Linked DNA regions of Pelodiscus sinensis. The protein of the gene in region 1 interacts with the protein of each later gene in a biochemical or structural test. Links are inferred from orthologs where the notes say so. Each region holds a gene or a part of one and is shown on either strand. Other genes may lie near its edges.

Evidence for each region. The genes of interacting proteins can lie anywhere in the genome.
Region 2: the proteins of SMAD4 (region 1) and COPS5 form a complex in vitro, tested with the Homo sapiens proteins (2 studies listed by BioGRID). The link is inferred for Pelodiscus sinensis from reciprocal best matches to the Homo sapiens genes SMAD4 and COPS5.
Region 3: the proteins of SMAD4 (region 1) and TFE3 form a complex in vitro, tested with the Homo sapiens proteins (2 studies listed by BioGRID). The link is inferred for Pelodiscus sinensis from reciprocal best matches to the Homo sapiens genes SMAD4 and TFE3.

The regions. Positions count from the first base shown.
Region 1 is NC_134716.1:114,750,478-114,757,526, reverse strand, and holds the start of SMAD4 (mothers against decapentaplegic homolog 4), read left to right. Parts: upstream 1-4,031; 5' UTR 4,032-4,164; exon of another isoform or gene 4,165-4,330; intron 4,331-7,049. UniProt on the Homo sapiens protein: In muscle physiology, plays a central role in the balance between atrophy and hypertrophy. When recruited by MSTN, promotes atrophy response via phosphorylated SMAD2/4.
Region 2 is NC_134712.1:57,851,422-57,858,690, forward strand, and holds the start of COPS5 (COP9 signalosome complex subunit 5), read left to right. Parts: upstream 1-4,264; 5' UTR 4,265-4,332; coding exon 4,333-4,484; intron 4,485-4,785; coding exon 4,786-5,020; intron 5,021-7,269. UniProt on the Homo sapiens protein: Probable protease subunit of the COP9 signalosome complex (CSN), a complex involved in various cellular and developmental processes.
Region 3 is NW_027466045.1:99,148-106,898, forward strand, and holds the start of TFE3 (transcription factor E3), read right to left. Parts: upstream 3,006-7,751; 5' UTR 2,435-3,005; coding exon 2,322-2,434; intron 1-2,321. UniProt on the Homo sapiens protein: Transcription factor that acts as a master regulator of lysosomal biogenesis and immune response.

The DNA.
Region 1 (7,049 bases):
GAAGTTAAGAGCGGGACACAACATATGAAAGAAAGGGCTGCAGCTCAGTTAGGGGATGCCTAGACTACAAGCCTCTTTCGAAAGAGTGTCTAGACTACAGCCAGTACTTTCGAAAAAGCGAGCTGCTTTTTCAAAAGAGAGCACCCAGGCAGTCTGGAAAAGCACAGTTCGCATTCAATAACGCCTTTTTTTGAAAGAGCGCTTTTGAAAAAAGGCATTATTCCTCGTAAAATGAGATCTTCCGCGATCAAAAAAACTGCCATGTTCTTTCGATTTACTTTCAAAAGAACGCGGTGGCAGTCTAGATGCAGGAGAAGTTTTTTTTTTTTTAAAGGCCACTTTTTTTGAAAAAACCCTGTAGTTTAGACACACCCTTGGAGAGGAACGACATATCTCTTGTTTGTTGCAGGCCTGTGGCTGTGGCCTGCCCCCAGGAGATTGAGCCTGGAGAGGAGTGACTGGGTTTGCTAGTGGCCAGATAGCTTGAGGAAATGGAGGACTTCTGGATGCTGAAGCCCCTGACTGGATTGTGGTAGGAAGTATCCCAGGGAAACAAGGCTACCATCTGGTTTGGCTGTCATTGCTTGAGTTGGCATTTCAGTGGGGTCCCTGCTGAGCCACTGGTGAAGCCCTCTGCCACTGTCAGGGTCCTGAATTCCTGCTCCCCACTAAGTCCCCTTTTCCCTGCTGCCAACTCTACTCCTAGAGTTGCAGCCTCCCCATCTTAGGTTGAATGATCTGTTTGCAGCTCTGTCCTGCTTGCAGGTTAGAGCCCCGCAAGACTGCCTAGCGTTCTGACCTGTCTGAGGACCAGAGCCCTCATACCTTATAGCCCCTGGTTTGATAATTTCCCCTGCAAGTGGGCTGACCTCTCAGGGCATGTCTAGACTGCCTGTGGCTTTTGAAAGAAGATATGCAAATTTTTGGAAGAGTTAAAAAAAAAAAGCAGTCTAGACGTGGTTCTTTAGGGGAAAAAAAACACCCTTTTTTCCAAAGAACCCTTCTTCCTAAAAAAATAAGGTGTACAGGGTTCTTTGGAAAAAAGGTTTTTTTTCGAAAGAACCGCATCTAGACTTTTTTTTTTTTAATTTCCAAAAACGGGATCGGAAGAAGATATGCAAATTCGCAACGAATTTGCATATCTTCTTTCAAAAGCCGCAGGCAGTCTAGATGTACCATCAGTGTGGTGAAGTGACCACCCTCCGAGCCAGAGAGAAGACCACTAAGCACTGTGAAATGTCCCAAAAGGAACAGTCCAGGAGGACAGCATGGAGCACTGATATACCTACTTGGGGTGCATCACACTATTGTATATTGATGCAAGTGTAATGCAGACAGACCCTGGTTGCCTGTGGATAGAATTGCACCTAGGACCTCTAGAACTTAGCCTCTACTGCATGAGCTAAAAAGCCACCTAGCTATTAGCAAAGGGTGTACAGTGCACTCTTTATTCTCTCTGTAAGTGGTTTGGTGCCACAACATGGGACAGTACACCACACCAAGCAAGAGATGTGGGTTATACAAGCACTCATAGTAAGTGTCAACACAAGCAGCCAAGTGTGAGTGCACCCAAGCAATATAGAAACTTTGGTAGTTCTATACTAACATAACTTGTGTCAAATCAACTTTATAGCATGGATATGGTCTAAGTGTTACAAGATCAAGCAGTCAAGATGAGAATGTTTTTGTTAAAAGAAATAAAACGTGTCTAGTTTAAAAAGCTTTGTGTGGGAAAGAAAGAAGTTTGCTCCATTTAATAGTGGTTAACACTATTGTCTTCAAGCCTTAGCATAATTCTGAAAAAAATTATCTGTTTCAAAAACTCAGTTCTGGATGTTATTCCTTGCATTGTGCATTTTTATGTTCTTTTATTATGCTCATCACCATAGCAACTGGGCACCCTGCATTTTAAAATCAAGTTAGGAAGCCAGCCTTAGCTAGCACAGAGAGGATATGGGGAAGTGCTGCTCGGTGTTCTCTACCAAAAGGCTCTTCCTGTCCCACACAAGAGGACAGGAGAGGACTGAGGATGTGCTCTAGCGCTCACTTTGCTGCTTCTTTGAGCTGAAGTAATGTACAGCAAAGCAATTAATAACTGATACTCAGCTCCAACATATCTCTGTCTCCCACGGAAATCATAGGAGGCACAACAGGGGTGACAAACTGAAATCCAGAACATTCCCGGGAAAAAGATCTGAGAGAAAAAGAAAACTATCACTGCAATGACCCTCATTCACTCCTTCCCTGTCCCAGAGACAAATAAACAGCTCCGTATGGGTTTTAGAGGCTGCTGGTGGATCTAATAAAATCAATACAATCACCTCATTCTCTCCTTTGAGCAATAAATCACAGGTATTTCTGTGTCTTAAATCTAAGTGGAAGGGGGGTGGCAAACTCATCAGTTGTGGGTGTAAAGATAAAGTTTAAATGACAGGGCCCTTCACAACCCTTTCTTCAAGGCTTGCTTTGTTTTCAAAAAAGAAATTCAAAACCAGAACAAATCAACTCCAGGTACTGGAATATAACCACACATAGCACTTTCCAGCCAGGAAGGAAAAGGATACACACCCTTTCCTTATGGTAGTTCCAGCATCCACCAGCTGGGAAGGGAGAGGACACACTCCCACACCCTTCCTCTGTAGTAATCCTTCCAAACTGTTATGGTAAGACCTCTACTAGGATTTCCCTAGGTCTGTATCTCTCTTGTCTGCAGCCCATCTAAATTGCAGGAAGCCTTAAGGATTCCCACTGGCCACATGCTTGTGTCTAATCATGTAACCTGCAAGTATAACCCCGTGGTATAAAGGTGTGTCCCAAGGCCTGTAACAAGCATATTGGGACATGTGCATGTGGCTGCAAGAGCTAGTGCCCTGATATAAGAGGACTGAGGAAATACAGATGATACAGGCCCTGTTCTAGCCCTGCCTCAGAAAATGAGAGGTTCAAACATGGAATAACTGGAAGGGCTGTCAATGACACATGATGGCTCTTTGTGGTCTCACTCATACTTCCCAAGCCTCAGGCTTTTGGCAATGTCAGGCTTTTGGGAGACATCTCAGACTCAGGAGTGACTCCAAAACATCTGGGCTTTTGACTGTGCAACTGCAAAAAGACAGTGAGAAGTTTAGAGCTAAACCCAAGAGAGCTGTATCCTGTTTGAGCAGACTACCCTGAAGGCTGTTCTTCGCAATATGTCTTTCAATTAGCCAAGCTACACTATTTACTTTGACTTAAAAAAAACCCCATGAATTTGATGTAGCCTTTTTTGGGTCAAATGGCAAACACAACGAGGTGGTGGATGAGCAGGGGGAGTGGATGAGAAAGGAGTTGAAGAATTGCATTCATGCTTTTGAATTTCTAGCTGAAGGCGGATGGATGAATCTAGTCTCGCTGCTGCCCTAACTTATTGTGCCCTGTGGTGAATCCTGGCATTAATGAGCCCTAACAACAACCCACTACCATGTGCAGCGCTGAACACCAGAGGAGGTGCCTGGACCAGTTTGCAAGGTGTCTAGCCACCACCTATGGGTCAGTCTGTCTCCCCTCCTGCCATCTCAGGCAAACAGCGTCCTCTCTGCCTATGGGTGTGAAACAGACACCCTGATTTTCCCTTAATAGTATTTACCTTAGTGATCCCCCAGAAACTGAACCAAAGCCCCCCCCCCCCCCCCAGACATGCCCCATAGAGCAGCTAACCAATACCCACCAAGCAGCAGGAGCGCGCCCCTGTCACTGTTCAGAGTCCTGGAGTCCAAAATCCCGGGCCCCTGAGATGGGGAAAAGCCAAACGAGAGTGGGAAGGAAACTCACTTTTCCCCCTTAGGGCGGGGACAGCAACCACAATATTAAATATGAGCCCCAACCCACACAAAAGCAGCCGCCCGCCCGCCCGCATGCAAACGTTACCCGGCGCTTTGCGACCTTAGAGACGCTGCTCACCTCTACACGCCTGCGCAAAACCACCACTTCTCCGTAACGATGGTAGAAGCAGGAGGGAGGGGGACCCCTCGCCCAAGATTGGGGGGGGGAGAGCGCCCGGATGTTGCGCATGCGCGGAGGCGGCTGGACGTGTCGGTGGTGGAGCGGCAGCAGCTGCAACAACAACACGGCGGAGGCGGCGGTAACGGGGCGGCTGGATCCTTCCCTCCCCCGCTCCGGAGGCCCGTGAGTGCCTCCTCCCCCCCAGCCGGGGCCGCCCTGAGGGGGCCGGCCGCAGCCCGAGGGCCTGGCCCCTTGCTGAGGAGGAGGCGGCGCCCCGGGGCCGCCGCACCGGGGCGGGGGGAGCAGGGGCTCGGGCCCGCCGCGGCCCAGCCGAGCCCGGAGAGCCCAGGTAACGCCCGCCCCCGGCGGCGTCCAATCAGACCCCGCCTGCCCCTGAAAGTGCGCCCCGCCCCCTCCCTCTCAGGATCCCCCCCCAGGGCTGCGCTGGGGGCCGCGGGCGAGGTCTCTGCTCCCCAGGTCCCCCTCCGGCGGCGGCTCAGCGCTCGCGGTGGGAGGAGCGCCCACGGGCCGCCCTGCTACAAGTTCCCAGGAGTGCGGCGAGGGGGGACCCCTGCCCCTCTGCGGAGGCCTCTGGTGCGAGTCCCACTGCAAATGAGGTGTTAGGAGAGTATCCTTCCTCCCTGCTTGCTCCCCTGCCCCTCTTCTTCCCTTCCTCCACTTGACAAGCTCGCCCCGTTTTCTTGCCCCGCTTATTCGGCTCCCCGTAGTGTAGGAAGTTGCCCGCCTTGTATTCCGTTCTCTAGCTCCCTTGCTCTTCTCTCTCTCCCCGCTCCTCCAGCCCCATGGTGTAGAAAATTGTTCCTCCGGACTCTCCTGTTGATCATATTCCCACTCAAGCTGTTCTACCATCTTCATTATTAAAGTGCCTTTCTTGCCACTCTTGCTTCAGTACTGTGGCCCGCAGCCCTAGTTACACTTTACTTCTAAAACGTATCGTGTGTTTTTGTTTGGGGTTTTTTCATATTTGGTTTCTGTCCTGCAATTCAACACACTTTGTTTTCTTTTAAATCTCATTATTTTTAGTTTATTTTAAGGTGCCCAGAGGCCTTTATGCTTTCAAGATATTATCTCAAAACAGTTCTTTTTATTTTAATTTTTGTTTTGTTTTATTTCTTTGCAATCTCCACTCCTTTTTCTTTTTTATTGTGCGTTATGTGCTGCATGGCAAATCTTATAGGAGTTCTTGCTGAGGATTGATGATGTGAAATTTTCTTTAATTTTGGGGAATTAGCTAAGTCCAGGGGTTGAGGAGAGAACAGTACAAACAGATCATTGCAACTCGTGCATTAGCACATACTAGGACTTTTGTGTGTGTTTTAACATCATATCCCAATCCTTGGTCGGTGTGTGTGTGTGTGTGTGTGGGGGGGGGGGGGGGCGCTCTGTAAACTAGGTAAAAGTTGTTTTCAACCTCTGTGATTGTTCCATTTATAATCTTAGCTGTGAATTAATTTAAACTTAGAATTAATACATTTTATATGACAGCCTTCTGGATAAAAAGTTTTATGTAATTGGCAATCAAAATACTTTTGTTTTGGCTAGATGATTATTGGAACAGACACCCCCCCCTTCCATTTGACAGTCGTGAACCTATTTTGACTTGATTTCCTTGTTTTATAGGCATATATATGCTTTTAATAATATTAAAACCGTGTTCATACACAGAGTAAAGATCTGAAGAAATCAGTCCCTGAAATTGATCAACATCTAGAATTAGTTTTATAAATAGATGGATTTAATCGAATTTACAGAAGAAAAAATGCAATAGATATTCAGATGTTGAGAAATATCTGCATACTCTGGTGCAGAGCAAAGGACCTGCATGCAAAGAATTTCAAAAGTACTGCACGTATTCTGAAAAATTCTTTTGGGGCTGGAATTTTCCATGCTTGGTCTTACCACAGAGGTGGAGATTTAAAGAAGGAAAAAAGTGCTTGAGCAAACAAAATACTATCCCTGTGCAAATTTCAGTACAGAATGCACATTACGTAAATACCCATTGCTGTGTTACCTACGCATTAAGAAAAAATATAAAATGACACTACATTTGTTCATAAAAGATTCTACTCTTCCTTCTGTTATTTGGTCTCTGGGTAAGACAGAGATAAGGAGATAGCAATGTGTTGGAGTTGGTTATGTCCTCAGCTGCAGCCCTAAAGGTATATAGATCAAGGAAGACTTGAACCTCATGCTGCAAGGCAACTTACAGGTCATCCCATTTTAACATTGGTACCTGAGCCAATTGTGTTGGGGCTGTAAGAGGCATTTGGATGAGATACTGGCCACATCATTCTCTTGTGTACTGTTGACTATGGAACTGACCAGCCTTAGCCAGTCACCCCAATGAGCCATAGGCTTGTGGAAACTTTTATTTGACTGTCAGTGTTAGCATCTATGGGAATACAGATATCTCAATGAGTCAGGCTGTTGTATGTAGTACACATTGGAATTTGTCCTTTACAAGTTTGAAGAATAATGGCTGGCTGGAGGGGAAATTGAATTACAAAAACTTACAGTACAAAAACTTTCTACTGTGAAAATGGCAATGTAAATATGGTCCTCATTCATCAAATCTTCTCCATATATGTATTTGATTCATAGCTGCTACCTTTGGTAACTGAGTGAAGTGTGGAGTGTGTGTGTGTGCGGGGGGGGGGTTTGCTATTTCTGCTACCATACCTAAGCTACATACTTGCATATCATTAGTAGAAAGGCTTACTGTGTTTCAGCTATAGGGCCAATCTGTTAAGCTTGTAAAAATGCCATTGAAAGCAATAGTTGCACACAGGTGGAGGCTGAGGAAAAACAAATGGAAAAACTGGCTGAAGACAGTTAAGACTTCAGATTTGGTTGTTCCACAAGAAAAAGGTTTTCTGAATTTTTGAATTGTTGTCATCTCTTAATTAAATTAAGAAGAAATGTTGTTGTTACAGTACTAAAATTTGTCTCAAGGCATTTCTCTGAATTCCTGTTCTGTTTTGTACAATTGTGCCAAAAAAATTTTTTATTTTCTTGTTACCTTTGCTTTTATATAAATGAATATGCCA
Region 2 (7,269 bases), on another chromosome or scaffold:
CAGTAACATGCTTCCTGGATCTTTTCCCTCCAGTTCGCCACTTCTTTTCACATCTTATCTGAAAAACATGCTTTCCTCTTTTGCTTATATTCCTCTTAATTTCCCTCTCCCCCTCCGGTACAATAAAGCTCTGTAAAGCAGTTCAGTACAGCTTATATGAAAGACGCTACGAAAATAAATATGCATTACACAGATGCATGACAGTGTCTTATGAGAGGAAAGAAAAATAAAAATGCCTGGTTATTAAGACAAGCCAATGAGATACAAACTGCGAAAAACCGATAGCGCATTAGAGCGACCAGGGACACGCCGCCGCCGGGCACCGGGGGGCAGCAGCAACAGCAGCGCGGGGGGGGGGTAGGGTTACAAGGCGCTGCCCCGCGCAGAGAGAGGGGGAAAGAGACACCAGAGCGGGCCCGAGTCAGGCCACGTTCCTCGCACACAGCGCGGCGGCCTCGGGCTCTGCCTCTTTAAGACGCTACTCAGCGTTGTTAGGCAACCAGGCTACAACAAAAACTGCTGCGGCTCCAGCCTGGGCCTAGCGCGCCCCCCTCCTCGGCCTCCTCCCTGCCTCGCGAGGCCTTTCGTTCCCCGGAGGGGCGCAGACACCCCCGCGCTTTCCCCCGGCCGCCACCGGAGGGGCACAGGTCCCCCCGCCCCGCAGCGAGGCCCTGGGGTGCTCGCTTCTCCCATCCCGGGGCGGCTCACAGCGAGGGGGCCGCAGCCCCCGACTCCCCGTCCGCGCCTCAGACACAGGCAGGAGACCAGAGCGGCCGCCCCAGGGGGCAGGTGACGGGGCAGAATTGCGTCCCGCGCTCCCGGGAGGGGGGCTCCCTGCGCCCCACCCCTTAGCCTCAGCAGCCGCCGTTGAGTTCCCCGGTCCCGTTGTCACGGCTGCAGCCAGCCCGCGGCGTCACTCACCGGTTCACCGTCGGGTTTGCAGGCGGCAGCTTCAGCTCCAGCTCCCGCCCTCGTCCTCTCACTTTACCGCCTCCCCCGGAGACTTGCCGCCAGACCTCCGCGGCTGCAAACAGCGCCCCCTGCTGCGCGGGAGCCGGGACCGGACTCCCGGTGTGGATGTGCGGGGATGTCTCTCGTTTCGTACCCGATGCCTGCCAGGGAGCCACTCCCGGCACGCGAGATCCTCATGCACAATTCTCCTCCCACCCGGTACACAGGTGACCATCTGGACCTAAACAAATACCACACAGAGGACATACCGTAGAACCAGACAAGGATACTGCACGGTCACGAATACCTCCATGTAGTGGACCCCATTCTCTCCCTCCCAAAAGTGACACTGTACCCAACCATCACATACAGAGGGCCATCTTCCTCCTACCCCTCTCCCACACACAAATCCTAGGACGTGGAGGGCTGTGTTTGCAGTTTGATTTTTTTTAAAGCAGGAGTGTAAACCAAGAATGAGAACTTTGCCACTATTTTATTGTCAATTGGCCTCTCTGCTTCTACTCTTCTTGCTAAGTATCAGAGGGTTATATATGGTTGTGACTACTTTCTTCCACTATTTGATCTGAGGAAGTGGGTCTGGCCCATGAAAGCTCATCATCTAATAAACCATCTTGTTAGTCTTTAAAGTGCTACATTGTCCTGCATTTTGCTTCAACTACCCAAGACTAACACAGCTACATTTCTATCAGTAGGGTTAGCTGTGTTAGTCTGAATCTGCAAGAGTCCTGTGGGACCTTATAGAATAACAGATTTATTGGAGCATAAGCTTTTGTGGGCAAAGACCTACTTCGTCAGATGCATTGTAAGGGACAGGGGAGCAGGACCAGGGACTGAGCCAGCATCTTTGCGCACCAGCTCCCCTGTCCCTTACAATACAGAGCAGTAGTCGGGGAAGTGGGTCTTTGCCCACAAAAGTTTATGCTCCAATAAATCTGTCAGTCTATAAGGTGCCAAAGGACTTCTCATCACTTTTACTCTTTATGCTGAATCTACTTCCCCTGCAAATAGTGTTTCCATATGACATCAAGAATGGAGACCTTCCCAGCTCTCTCATTTCTTCCCTTCTTATAGCCCATTACAAGGGCCCAAAAATTCATTAAATGTGAGACAAAGGAATAAGTGTAATATGAAGCATAACTTTAAATTTGTTAATATAAACATTCCATATATATATATAATGACCCTGTAGCAATCAGTAGAGCTCTGCAGGGGCACAGACCTCTCACACTGATGCAGAATCAATAATAGGGCCTTGTGTAGGGCCAGACATTTGCATTTTCATCATGTCCCATTTTCCTAACTTGGGTTTTCCATGAGCAGAACCATGTGCAGGGATTCCACTACATGATTAAGATCTAGCTGTGCATGACACTTTACAGTACGGGTGGGCAACAGTTTTTTTGCCAGGGGTCGCCTGGCCCTGGGCCGCTCCGGAAGGGGCGGGGCCAGGATGGTTTCCAGGCTTCCCCACCCATACTCCATGATTAATCTAGGGGTGGAGGAGCCCCTTTGTTCCTCCTTCCCACTAAGCACCCATGCCCAATGGTAGATGGAGACTTCCCATGTCCCCCACCCTCAGGCCAATCAGGGTCTGGGAGCCAGGGCCACAGTATGACTTTTGTGGGCCCTAGGCACTTTTGCCTTCATGGGCCCCTTCCTCCATAAAAAAAAAAAAATATTAAAAAGTATTTTGATATAACTTTAAATACTTAAACATTTTTTTTCTGTTTTAGGCAAAATGTAATAGATTTTCGTGGGCCCTAAAAGTTTCATTTTTTTCTGATGTGAGAAAAATATTAAAACATTTTCTTTGACCCTAAAAGTTCATTTTTGTCTTCTGATTTTAAAAGAAATTAAAACATTTTCATGGGCCCCTAAAAGTATCATGGGCCCTAGGCACTGTGCCTAATGGATAAACACTTATAAGTGCTGCGTGCTTTTTGCAGGGCAGGGATAAGGCAGAGGAAACTTTGCGGGTTCCTCCTGCTGCCAGGCCAATCAGGCGGTGGGGGTGGGGGTGGAGGTGGGGGAGCATGCAAATTCTCCTCCCGTCGGTGGTGACTTTGTGTGCTTCCCCCCACACACAGAAGCTCTCTTGCCCACCCTTGCTTTACAGACATAGTCATTACCAGGGTTTGCTGAACAGCGGTGAGCCCTGCTCGCCAGCTGCGTTGTCCCCCCAAACCCGCAGATCACCCAAACCCAATTCTTCCGGGTTACAATCTACTCACCCATGTCGAGTAGATTGTATTATTTGTCAAGCCCTGATCATTACTAGGCATATTAAAATGCATTTATTTTTGTAAACGTGTGGCAGCTGGTGCTTTTAAGCCAGCTCCCCACACATGCTGGCTTCTGTCTCCTTCTTCCTTCCCCCTTTCCCCTCCCCCCCCTCCACTGCTGCCTCTGTATTAGCGAGGAGGGAAAGGTGGCTCCTTGGGAACTGGCATGCCTGGAGAGTAAGCTTAAAAACCAGCTCCCCACTGCACACCAGCTCCCAACTCCCAGTCTCCAGTTCCATCCTACATTTTGAACCCCTCATTTCTGCCCCTCCCCAGAACCCACACCCCCAGTCCAAAATCTGTGCCACATCCTACACCCCAGCCCACTGCTTCAGCCCAGAACTCCCTTCCATATGCCTAATCCCTTGGCTCCACCCCACACACTAGAGTTCCCTCTTGCACCCCAAACACTTCATCCCTGGTCCCACCCTAGAGCCCACATCCCCTCCTACACTTCAATCACTGGGCCAGCCTTGTGAAAAAGAGTGAATGAGGGTGAAGAAAGCAAGCAACAGAGAAAGGAGGGATGCAGAGAGCAAGGGCAGGGCCTTGGAAAAGGAGTAGGGGGTAGAGTAAGGCTATTCCGTTTTGCAGAAAATCAGCAATCCTAACCAAGATGGCTAGGACAGACTTTTTAAAAATGAAGTTGAGCTTCTCGTGTCCTCCCATTTCAGGAGCTGAAGATTTACCTAAGAAACCAAACATCAGGAGACCCAGGATTACATTGTGAGAACTAGCAACGCTTGACCATCTGTTCATTTCCACACTGCGACATCCCTAAGTTGTTGCGTGCGCAACTACTGAGATCACCTGCACAGCTAGCTGAGCGTGGTCTGTGTTACGCATGTGCGTTGCTTATCCATGGCCCCGCTGTCAGCCGGGCATGGTTCTGAGTAGGGCGGTACTTCTAAGACTGGCCTCTAGGGGGCGCGCTGCCCAGGAGGTTTCAGGCTTTGCGGACTGTACCATTCCCAACCCTCCCCCAGTTTCTATCGGGACATTCCAAGCCTTGGCTCCCCCCTTCTCGCGCCCGACACTTGGTTTGCGCGGCGGCCGGGTCGGGCCGGGCGGCTGGGGGATGGCGGCGGCCGGCACCTCCGGGAGCGGGATGGCGCAGAAGAGCTGGGAACTGGCCAACAACATGCAGGAGGCGCAAAGCATCGACGAGATTTACAAGTACGACCGCAAGCAGCAGCAGGAGATCCTGGCGGCCAAGCCCTGGACCAAGGAGTGAGAGCCGGGCGCGGGGGAGCGTTCCGGGCTATGGGGGCGGGGAGGCGGCGGGGCCCATGGAGCCCGGGGAGGCAGCGGGGCCACCCGTGTGGTTTAGGTCCTGAAGTCAGCAGCATTTCCGGCGGGTGGCGGTTAAGAGGGGCCCTGGGTAGGTGTTGATAAACGCCACCCAGCTACTTCTCCCTTCTTTCCCTCCCCCCCCCCCCCTTGCTGTACTGTGCACGTTTCCTCTGTGTGTGTTTGCCTGCCTGGTCATGTACCTGTCCTCTCATTAATATCTCTCCGCTCTTTTCTGTAGCAACCACTACTTCAGATACTGCAAGATTTCGGCTCTGGCCCTGCTGAAGATGGTCATGCACGCCCGGTCTGGAGGCAATCTGGAAGTAATGGGGCTGATGCTTGGGAAAGTGGATGGGGAAACTATGATTATCATGGACAGCTTCGCTTTACCTGTAGAAGGCACTGAAACCCGAGTCAATGCTCAGGCTGCTGCATATGAATATATGGCTGCATATATTGAAAATGCAAAACAGGTAAATAAAGAGATCCGTTGTGCCAGAAGATAGGCTATTGGTGCTGTAATAACAACTCAGTGTCAAGCATGAAATCTTTGTATTTCACAGCTATAGCAGTTATACATAATATGTATAGTTGGCTTCATTTACACACACATTCACTCTCTCTTCTTCCCCCCCCCCTTATTTTCCATCAAAAGAAACCCTAAATCTCCTTTGAGAAGAAAAAATATAAATCACGGAGTATATAGACAGCATTGGCAACTACCAGTAATTGTACTTTAGAAGATATGAACATTATACAGAATGTTTGCATGAAACATAACTGAAATAGTTCTTTCCTCTACCCCCTGCCTTTCCATATAGACTTCCATTCACATGTAGGCCCTAATCCTCCAATGGGTTTAGTGCAGACAGAATTGGTGCTTTAATCTCTGATGAAACTTGCGAACATGTAGTAGGTAAATATAATAAAAAGTTCCAAGCTGGAACTTTCTATTATATTTACCTACTACATCATATACTTATTTTATATTAACCTCACACTGCAATCTTGATAGTGATGTAGTGCAGAATGAGCAGTACATCCCATACATGTTTCCAGGTTCAAATAGTTCCTCTATCTATAGTTGAATTTTTGTATTTCATTAACTATATCTAATACAATTAGAGACACTTGTTTCATTTGTGCAAAGTTCTCCTAAATTTAATGGTGAAACTCAGGTTGCAGGGTTAGGGAATAAGAATTGCTGCTGTATTTACAGCTGGATTACTTATAGATTTCAATATAAATTATGAGTTGGAATAGATTATAATGTACAGTAACTCCTCACTTAATATTTTTCAGGAATATAACTCTACGTTAAGCAAAGCTAATTTTCCCATAAGAATTAATGAAAATGCAGGTTAGGTTCCAGGATATGTTTTTCCAGCAGGCAAAAGGCAATGTGTGTCTCTAATATACACAGTATGAGTTTTAATAAATTTAATACTGTACACAGTAGAGATGTTAAATTTCAATTAATCAACTAATCAAGTAGCCGAAGTGGGTCTTTGTCCACGAACGCTTATGCTCCTACACTTCAGTTAGTCTATAAGGTGCCACAGGAGTCCTCGTTGTTTCTGTAGGGTTAATAAGACCACAAATATTATTCTTTGTTGAAATAATTTAATGATGTATAGTGATCTGTTCTAGCTGTACCTATTAAGCATTTAAACTGTAAAGCAAGTACAGTAGACTTCCAATAATCCAGCACCTTTGAGACCTAGGTGGTGCCAGATTATTGGATATGCGGGAGTATCGGGAGGTACTCCGGCGGGGGGCTGTGACGGGTCTGCCAGGACCCGCACTGTGTCTGGGGGGTGGGCAGGGAATAGCACGGCGAGGGGCGAGCCCTCTGCCATTTTGCAGGAAGGTGGGGGAAGCCCCACACCGCTGCCGAGAGTTTCTGGGAGGGGAGCGGGCTCCCCACCCTCCAGACTGCAGTAGTTATCGCTGAGCAGAGGGGTGAGGGTCGGTGCTGCGGGACCAACCCACAGCACCCCTGCTGCTCTGCTCTGCCGCTTGTCCACCGCTCATCAGTTTCAGCAGCGGCAGTGGCGGACTTGAGAAAGCGGCGAAATAGAGCAGCTGGGGTGCTGCTGGGTTGGTCCCACAGTACCGCCCCTTACCCCCTGCACAGTGCCTGGCAGCACCCCAGCTGCTCTGCTCCGCCCCGCCGCTTCCCCAAGTCCGCCACTGCTCCTTATGAAATTAATGAGCAGCAGACAAGTGGCAGAGCAGAGCAGCTGGAGTGCTGCCGAGCAGCGAAGTGAGGGGCGGCGCTGTGGGACCAACCTGGCAGCACCCCAGCTGCTTTGCTCTGCCACTCGTCAGTTTCAGCAGCAGCAGACTTGGGGAAGCGGCTGAAACTGGCAAGCAGTGGAGCAGAGCATCTGGGGTGCTGCTAGGTTGGTCCCGCAGCGCCGCCCCTCGCTCCCCTGCTCGGCGATAACTACTGCAGTCTGGGGGGTGGGGAGCCCATTCCCCTCCCAGAAACTCTCGGCGGTGGTGTGGGGCTTCCCCCTCCTTCCTGCAAAATGGTGGAGGGTTGGCCCCTCGCCGCCCCATTCCATGCCAGTAGCTTCAATTGTCCGGCTGGCCGGAGCACTTGCACTTCCAGGTTCCAGTTGGTGCCGGACCACTGAATGCCGGACAATTGGAGTTTTACTGTAAAAAGATTCTTTGGTTTTAAGCCTGATTCTGTTTGTTTAAAATTGGTGCCTAA
Region 3 (7,751 bases), on another chromosome or scaffold:
GGGAGCGAGGAGGCAGGGCTGGGGGGGGCAGGGGCTGTGACTCCCAGCAGGGAAGGGAAGGGAAGGAAAAGGAAGGGCCGGATAGGACACAGACTCCACAGACTTGAGGGGAAGTGACAGAGCCTGGGGGGGGGGGGTCAGGTTAGTTCAGCACCAGGCTGGGGCCTCCCCCCGGCCCTGCCCCAGTGTCCCCTCTCCCGGTTCTCCTGGGGATGTGCCCCCCTCCTGCCCCAGCTGGGCACCTGGGGTCTCTCCCTGGCTCTGGGGGAGCGGGGTCCAGTGGTTAGAGCAGGGGGGCTGCTGGGATCCTGGGCTCCACCCCTGCCCCCAACTCGCTGTGTGACCTTCAGTGGCCCCCTCCCCCGCTCCAGGGATCATTAACTAGACCCGGGAGCAAACAACATGGACCCTGGAGCCCGGGGTCCGGAGAGGCCAGAAATTATCCTGGGGGGGGGGGGGATCTGCTACTGCAGCCCCATGAGAACCCAGGAGTCCCAGGCTCCCCCCCCCAACCGCCGCTCTAACCACTAGCCCCCACTCCCCTCCCAGAGCTGGGAAGAGACCCCAGGAAACCAGGCTGCCCCCCCCCCGCTCTAACCACTAGTCCCCACTCCCCTCCCAGAGCTGGGAAGAGACCCCAGGAAACCAGGCTGCCCCCCCCGCTCTAACCACTAGTCCCCACTCCCCTCCCAGAGCTGGGAAGAGACCCCAGGAAACCAGGCTGCCCCCCCCGCTCTAACCACTAGCCCCCACTCCTCCCAGAGCCAGGAGCGAACTCACACTCAGCTTCATTTGCAGCCAGAGGCTCGGGTCCCCCAGGCCAGCCCCTGCCCCTCCCCCTTGTGACCCAGTCACAACCTCGCCCCCCAGCTGCCCTCACCCCCAACCCACAGGGTCGGGCCCAGGGGTCGCTTGTCCAACCCTCCCCCAGCCAAAGGGGTCCCTGGGGGCGGGAGGCCGAGACGGGACAGGACCCCGGGGAAGGGAGGGGGGGCACCAGGGAGGAAAGGGGAGGTCCTCGGGGGGAGGGGCATTCCAGCGAGCAAAGGGTGCCGGAGGAGGAGGTGCCGGGGGACAGGGGGTTGCCCAGGGGGTACTGGGGCAGCGGGGGCTCCGGGGGACGGGACCCTAGCGCGGGGGACAAGTAGATGGTAGGGAGGAATAGTGCGCGGGACAGAAGGATACAGGGGGGGATACCGCACGGGACAGAGGGATACGGGGGGGGGATACCGAGCGGGACAGGGGGATACAGGGGGGGATACCGCACGGGACAGGGGGATACGGGGGGGGATACCGCATGGGACAGGGGGATACGGGGGGGGGATACCGCACGGGACAGGGGGATACGGGGGGGGATACCGCACGGGACAGGGGTATACGGGGGGGGGATACCGAGCGGGACAGGGGGATACAGGGGGGGATACCGCGCGGGACAGGGGGATACAGGGGGGGATACCGCGCGGGACAGGCGGATACGGGGGGGGATACCGCGCAGGACAGGGGGATACCACACGGGACAGGCGGATACGGGGGGGATACCGCACGGGACAGGCGGATACGGGGGGGGATACCGCACGGGACAGGCGGATACGGGGGGGGATACTGCGCGGGACAGGGAGATACGGGGGGGGGATACCGCGCGGGACGGGAGGGGGGTGGGCCCGGCACAGGGGGATACCGGGGGATACCGCACGGGACAGGGGCATACGGGGGACATCGCATGGGACAGGAGGGGGGGTAGGCCCGGCACAGGAGGATACGGGGGGGGGATTCCGCGCGGGATGGGAGGGGGGGTAGGCCCGGCACAGGAGGATAGGGGGGGGGGGGATACTGCGCAGGACGGGAGAGGGGTAGGCCTGGCACAGGAGGATACGGGGGGATACCGCGCGGGACGGGAGGGGGGTGGGCCCGGCACAGGGGGATACCGGGGGGGGGGGATACCGCGCGGGACGGGGGGGGGTGGGCCCGGCACAGGGGGATACCGGGGTGGGGGGTTACCGCGCGGGACGGGGGGGGGGGCCCGGCACAGGGGGATACCGGGGTGGGGGGTTACCGCGAGGGACGGGGGGGGGGCCCGGCACAGGGGGATACCGGGGTGGGGGGTTACCGCGCGGGACGGGGGGGGGGCCCGGCACAGGGGGATACCGGGGTGGGGGGTTACCGCGAGGGACGGGGGGGGGCCCGGCACAGGGGGATACCGGGGGGGGTTACCGCGAGGGACGGGGGGGGGGCCCGGCACAGGGGGATACCGGGGGGGGGTTACCGCGCGGGACGGGGGGGTCCCGGCACAGGGGGATACCGGGGGTCTCTGCCCCCCTCACCTCAGCACCTGGACGGTCTCAGCCGCGCGGGGTCCCTCCAGCAGGACGTAGACAGTCGGGGGGGCCCGCTGGGGGTCGGGTTCCCGGGCCCCCTGCCCCGCCCCGTGCGACATTCTCCTCCCCCCGCAGGGCTCGGGGCCCGGGGGAAGCGGCCGGTGTCCCAGCAGGAGTGGCCCGGGGGGGGGGCGCTGGGCCTAGGGCGCGGGGTCCGAGAGCGGCCGCTGGCTCCGGTGCGGGACCCCCCTCAACCCCGATCGCAGCCGATAAACACCCGGCCGGAGAGTTATTGCCTCATCCCCCGGCTGGGGGGGGATCGCCAAGGGAAATGACGTCACGTCGGGATACACCCCCAGCCCGGGGGGGTGCCAGGGGGGCATCTGACACACGCCCCGACGGTGCCCCTCGCTCCAGACCCCCATCGCCTCGCCCCGCTTGTCCCGGGCCCGTCCCGCGGCCGGACCGAAGCAGGACCCGGATTTTCGGGAGCCCCCCAGGACCTCCTGGGGCTGAACCCCCTCTCCATGCGCGCGCGTGTCCCTGTCGCTCGTGGGGTGCGGTGTCCGGTGGGCGCGAGTTGTGTGTGTGTGAGTTGTGTTGGTCGGGGTGTGGTTGTGTGTCTCTGGGTGTGCGCCGGCTGTTGTGCTCTGGGAGTGTGCGGCTCTGCCAGTCAGTTGTCGTGGAGGGATTGTGTAGCTCTGTGTGAGACTTGTGTGTGTGTGTGTGTGTTGTCAGCGGGTGTTGGGTGCGTGAAGTGGTGTGTCTGTGGGTGTATCAGTTCCCGTGGGGAGGGGGGGGGACTATGGGTACCTATTTATGTGGCTGTGGTGTGTATCTGCTGTAACAGTGTGTGTTCAATTGTGTATCATTGTGTGGGACCGCTTTCGTGGTAGGCGGTGTGACCGTTCACCTCTCTGTGTGTATCGGCTGCCATGGCAGGGGTCCGGCGGTGCGTCTGAGTGTGCGTGTGAGGTGTTGCGGGGCAAGCGGTTGTCTGCCTCTGTGTGTAGCCGCTGTGTACCGGTGTCGGTGCGACTGTGCATCTCCGTGTGTGCCAGGGCTCCAGCTGTCCGGGTGCGGGGGTGTCGGTCCCTGTGGCTCAGTTTGTTGTGGCTTGTGCTACCCCCTTAAGCCCCCCCTCACAGCCCATCCCCGCGCCGCCCCGCGCCCCGCCCCCTACATTCCCTCCGGCGCCCCAAGGGTTAATCACTGGAGCAGGCGGATTGGCGTGACCACACAGGGTGTGTGTGAGATACACCCGGCCCGCCTGTGCGTGGGGGGCGGGGGCTACACCCGGCCTGTGACAATGTGCCTCTGCCTGTCTTGCACCGGGAGCCGATTGGCCCAGTAACCAGCCAGCGACTGTCCGGCTGTGCAACCCCCCACCACACACCCTCCTCCGCCTGTTGGCGACAGAGAGGGTGTGAAACAGGCGGCGGGGACTGGGAGCCAGGGCTTTTCCAGCCGAAAAAGAGCCGGGAACTGGCTGGCTGGATTAAACGGGGGCGGGGGGGTCCCCCTTGCACCCCCGGACTGGTCACACACCCGCGGCGGCGGTTGTGCGTCCCCCGAGCCAGGAAACAGAACAACGCATCTGAGAGAGGAAAGGTAAGAGACCCCCCCCCCGGAAAATAGCCTGGAGGGGGCTGGGCTGGCTCGGTGGGGCAGGGGCCTGTCCCGTCCATGGGGCACCAGATCCCCCCGCTGAGCCAGAGCGGGGGGCTGGCTGGCTCGGGGGTGGGGAGGGATAAAGCCTCCCCTGGCAGGGTCAGGGAGCAGGATGGAGGGCTGGGCGGGGGGGGGCATTCCCCAGGACATTGAGGGGCACCATGGGGTGGAGAGTGGGGCTGAGGGCTGGGCAGGGGCATCCTCCCCTGGGCACTGGGGGGCTGGGAATGGGGCAGGGGTGCTGTCCTCTGGTAGGCAGGTCCAGGCGCTGTGGGGCAGAGACTGGGCTGGGAGACTGGACAGGGTGCTGTCCCCTGGAAGGCAGGCCTGGGCACTGTGGGTCTGGGAGCTGGGTGGGGGCTGAGCAGACGATGCGTGGGGCTGGGAGCTGGGTGGGGGCTGGGTATTGGGTGCTGTGGGGCCGGGTGGGGGCTGGGCAGGGGCTCTGCCCCCTGGCAGGCAGGCCTGGGCCCTGGGTGTGCCATGCTGGGAGGAGCGGGCGGCTGGGCAGAGTTTAGTGTAACAAGTTCTTCCCCCCCCTCCCCCCCGTGTGGCTGTTCCCCAGCTGCTCTGCCCCAGAGGTGGCTGCATTGCACAGTCAGGCCAGTCCTTCCCGGGGATGCGGGGGGGGGGGGGCTGTTTCTGTGTCCGGGCAGCTGGAAAGGTCTGGATCTGAGGGTCACTTGAACTGGAAACAGGGTCTGGGGAAGTTGATGCTGAGAGGCTAGTGGGGCAAACCAGGGCGCAGGAGGGACAGGGGGTCTAGTGGTTGGAGTCCGGCTGCCTGGGTTCCCGGGGTGGGGGGTGAGCCGTGCCCGGCCTGGCTGCTTGGCAGAGTGACCTATTTTGTGGCATGAGGTGAGGCCGCTGCGGGAGCACCCTGGGCCAGGGTCTCTGTGGGAAGGGGGCATTAAACCCTCGCAGCCGTTCCCACCCCATCAATGGGCACAGAGCAGGGGGACAGGAGGGGCCCGGCCTGGCTCAGGGATTGTCTTCGGCCCCCTAAGCGGCTTTGGAGTCAGCTGATTGTGTTAATCCCCATTTTAATGAGAGTCAGGAAAATGCACAAAGATGCCCCTCTCTGCGGGCAGCTGGGAACAGAACCCAGGCCTCCAGCCCCCCCTTGCCCTGACCCACCTGACCCCGCTCCCTTCCTGGGGCTGTGGCGAGAACCCAGGCGTCCTGGCTGCCGTCCGACAGATGAATCATTCCCGGTCTGGTGGTGCCAGGGCACTGGAATGCAGAAGGCTCGTTCAACCGGTGCCACCAGTGCCCTCGTGCCGTCGCTGGAGGAGGGAAAGTACCAGTGCCATTAGCTGGGGGAGTGTGTTGCAACTACCTCTGGGGTGGGGCAGCTGGGGAACAGCTGCATATAATGCTGCTCAGAGAGGGCTCGCCCAGCACTAGGATGCAGCCGCTTCTGGGGCAGGGTGACTGGGGAGCAGCCGCATATAACGCCAATTGGAGAGGGCACGCCCAGGGCCAGGATGCAGCCACTTCTGGGATGGAGCAGCTGGAGAACCGCTGCATATAACGCCGCTTGGAGAGGGCTCCCCCAATGCTGGGATGCAGCCACTTCTGGGGCACGGCAGCTGGGCAACAGCTGCATATAACACCACTCAGAAAGGGCTCACCCAGTGCCAGGATGCAGCCACTTCTGGGGCGGGGCAGCGGGGGAGCCGCCACCGAACGGGAAACACGCAGCAGGGGGGCTTCCGTTTTCTGGGGCTCAGTGTCCGTTAGCAGGAAGTCCTGGTGAGCTCAGGTGTGAATTCCTTTCCAGCTTTTCCAGCATCCAAGCCTGTCAGCAAGTCTCCAGGCGGGGTGCGGGATGGGGATGGCCCTGTGTTTTGGGGCTGCTTGGTTCAGCCCGATGGGAGACTGAGGAGGAAAATGATGGAGGGATCTCAGCAGGCGGGCAGAGCCAGGCGCTGGGGGGCACCGAGTTGTGGGCACTGGAGGGGGGAGCCCCAGGGAACAGAGGGTTCAATGGGGCTGCACTGGGGGGCATTCCAGGCTGTTCTGTGGGCAGCCTCCCCTGCCCCCTCCATGCACCTCCAGGTATGCCTGGAATGGGCCCCCTGGCCCTGTATGGTGCCGGCAGAAGGGGTAGCACCACCAGGGCCCCCGGCCAGTGGATGGGGGTCCCCAGATACATCATGGGGAGCCCTTTGGGTATCAGTGGAGGCCTCGAGGCCGCTTTAACCCTTGTAGTGCCAGGAGCAGAGAGGGCAGATCCCTCCAGATACCTGGGCTCTTCTCAGAGTAGCTGTGAATGTGTCAGGGTGTGTGGGTGTGTGTGTGTTGGAATGCTAGCGTGTGTTACTTTGTGTAGTTGTTAGTGTGTGCGCGCACTGTGCCAATGTGGTAGTGTGTTTCCTTGTGTGGCTGTTTTTGGGTGGGTGTTTGGCTGTGTTGCTGTGTGTCTTTTGTGTTTGTTATGGTCTGCATTACTTGTGTGGGGATGGCATTGTGTATGTGTTTTGTGCGGTATTGTTGTGTTAACCTGTGTTGATGTGTTATGTGTATTTGGTGTAGGAGGCAGCAAGTGTGGTGTTGTCAGTGGATCGGTGCGTTAGTGTGGGGTTCCTAGTGCGTAGGTGGTGTGCGTTGTGATGAGGGGGTGTTGCCCAGTTTTTGGTCTGTGTGCGTGCTAGTGTGTGTTGGCTTGGGTGTGTATTGTTGCAGTGTGTGTTACTCTGTGTGTTTGCCTTGTGCGTACATCTGTCGTCTTGTATATGTACATGTTGTGTGGGTGTGTGTAACTGTGAGAGTGGGAGAGAAGTGTGCGTCTCATGGTCTGTGGGTTATCTGCCCATGTGCATCTGTGTGCCCACGTCCCTGGGGGTATGCTGCAGATGGTGTGCAGAGCCCTGGGTGTGTGTCCCAGTGTGTGTCGTGGGGTGTGCACCCGTGTGTGTAGATCACTCTGTGTGCGCAATGGGATGGTGTCTACCTGGCTGTGTGTCCCAGGTGCCGTGGCTCAGGCTGTTTGTTCCCGGTGGCCTGTCCCAGGGTAGTGTGTCCCCAGGTGGTGTGCACTAGGCTGCCTGTCCTTGGAGGCGTACACCTGGCGGCCTGTCCTGGGTGGTGTGTACCTGGCTGCCTGTTCCAGGCAGTATGTCACCAGGTGCCTGTCCCAGGGACGTACACCTGGCTGCTTGTCCCAGTCAGTGTGTCCCTGACTGCCTTTCCCGGCAGCTTGTCCCGAGCTGGCGTATCCCTGGTTTCCTGTTCCGGTCACTATGTCTCTGGCTGCCTGTCCTGGGTAGTGTGTGCCTGGCTGCCTGTCCCAGGCACTGTGTCCCTGGCTGCCTGTCCTGGATGTCTGTACCAGGCTGCCTGTCCCGGGCTCTGCATCCCTGGCTGCCTGGCCCAGTCACTGTCTCTGGCTGCCTGTCCCAAGCTGCCTGTCCCAGGTGCTGTGTCCCTGGCTGCCTGTCCTTGCTGTCTATCCCAGTCACTGTCTCTGGCTGCCTGTGGCAGGTGCTGTGTCCCTGGCTGCCTGTCCTGGATGTCTGTACCAAGCTGCCTGTCCTGGGTATCTCCACCAAGCTGCCTGTCCCGGGCTCTGCATCCCTGGCTGCCTGTCCCAGTCCCTGTCTCTGGCTGCCTGTCCCAAGCTGCCTGTGGCAGGTGCTGTGTCCCTGGCTGCCTGTCCCGGGTGCTGTGTACCTGGCTGCCTGTCCTGGATGTCTGTCCCAGGCTGCCTGTCCCGGGCGCTGTGTACCTGGCTGCCTGTCCTGGATGTCTGTCCCAGGCTGC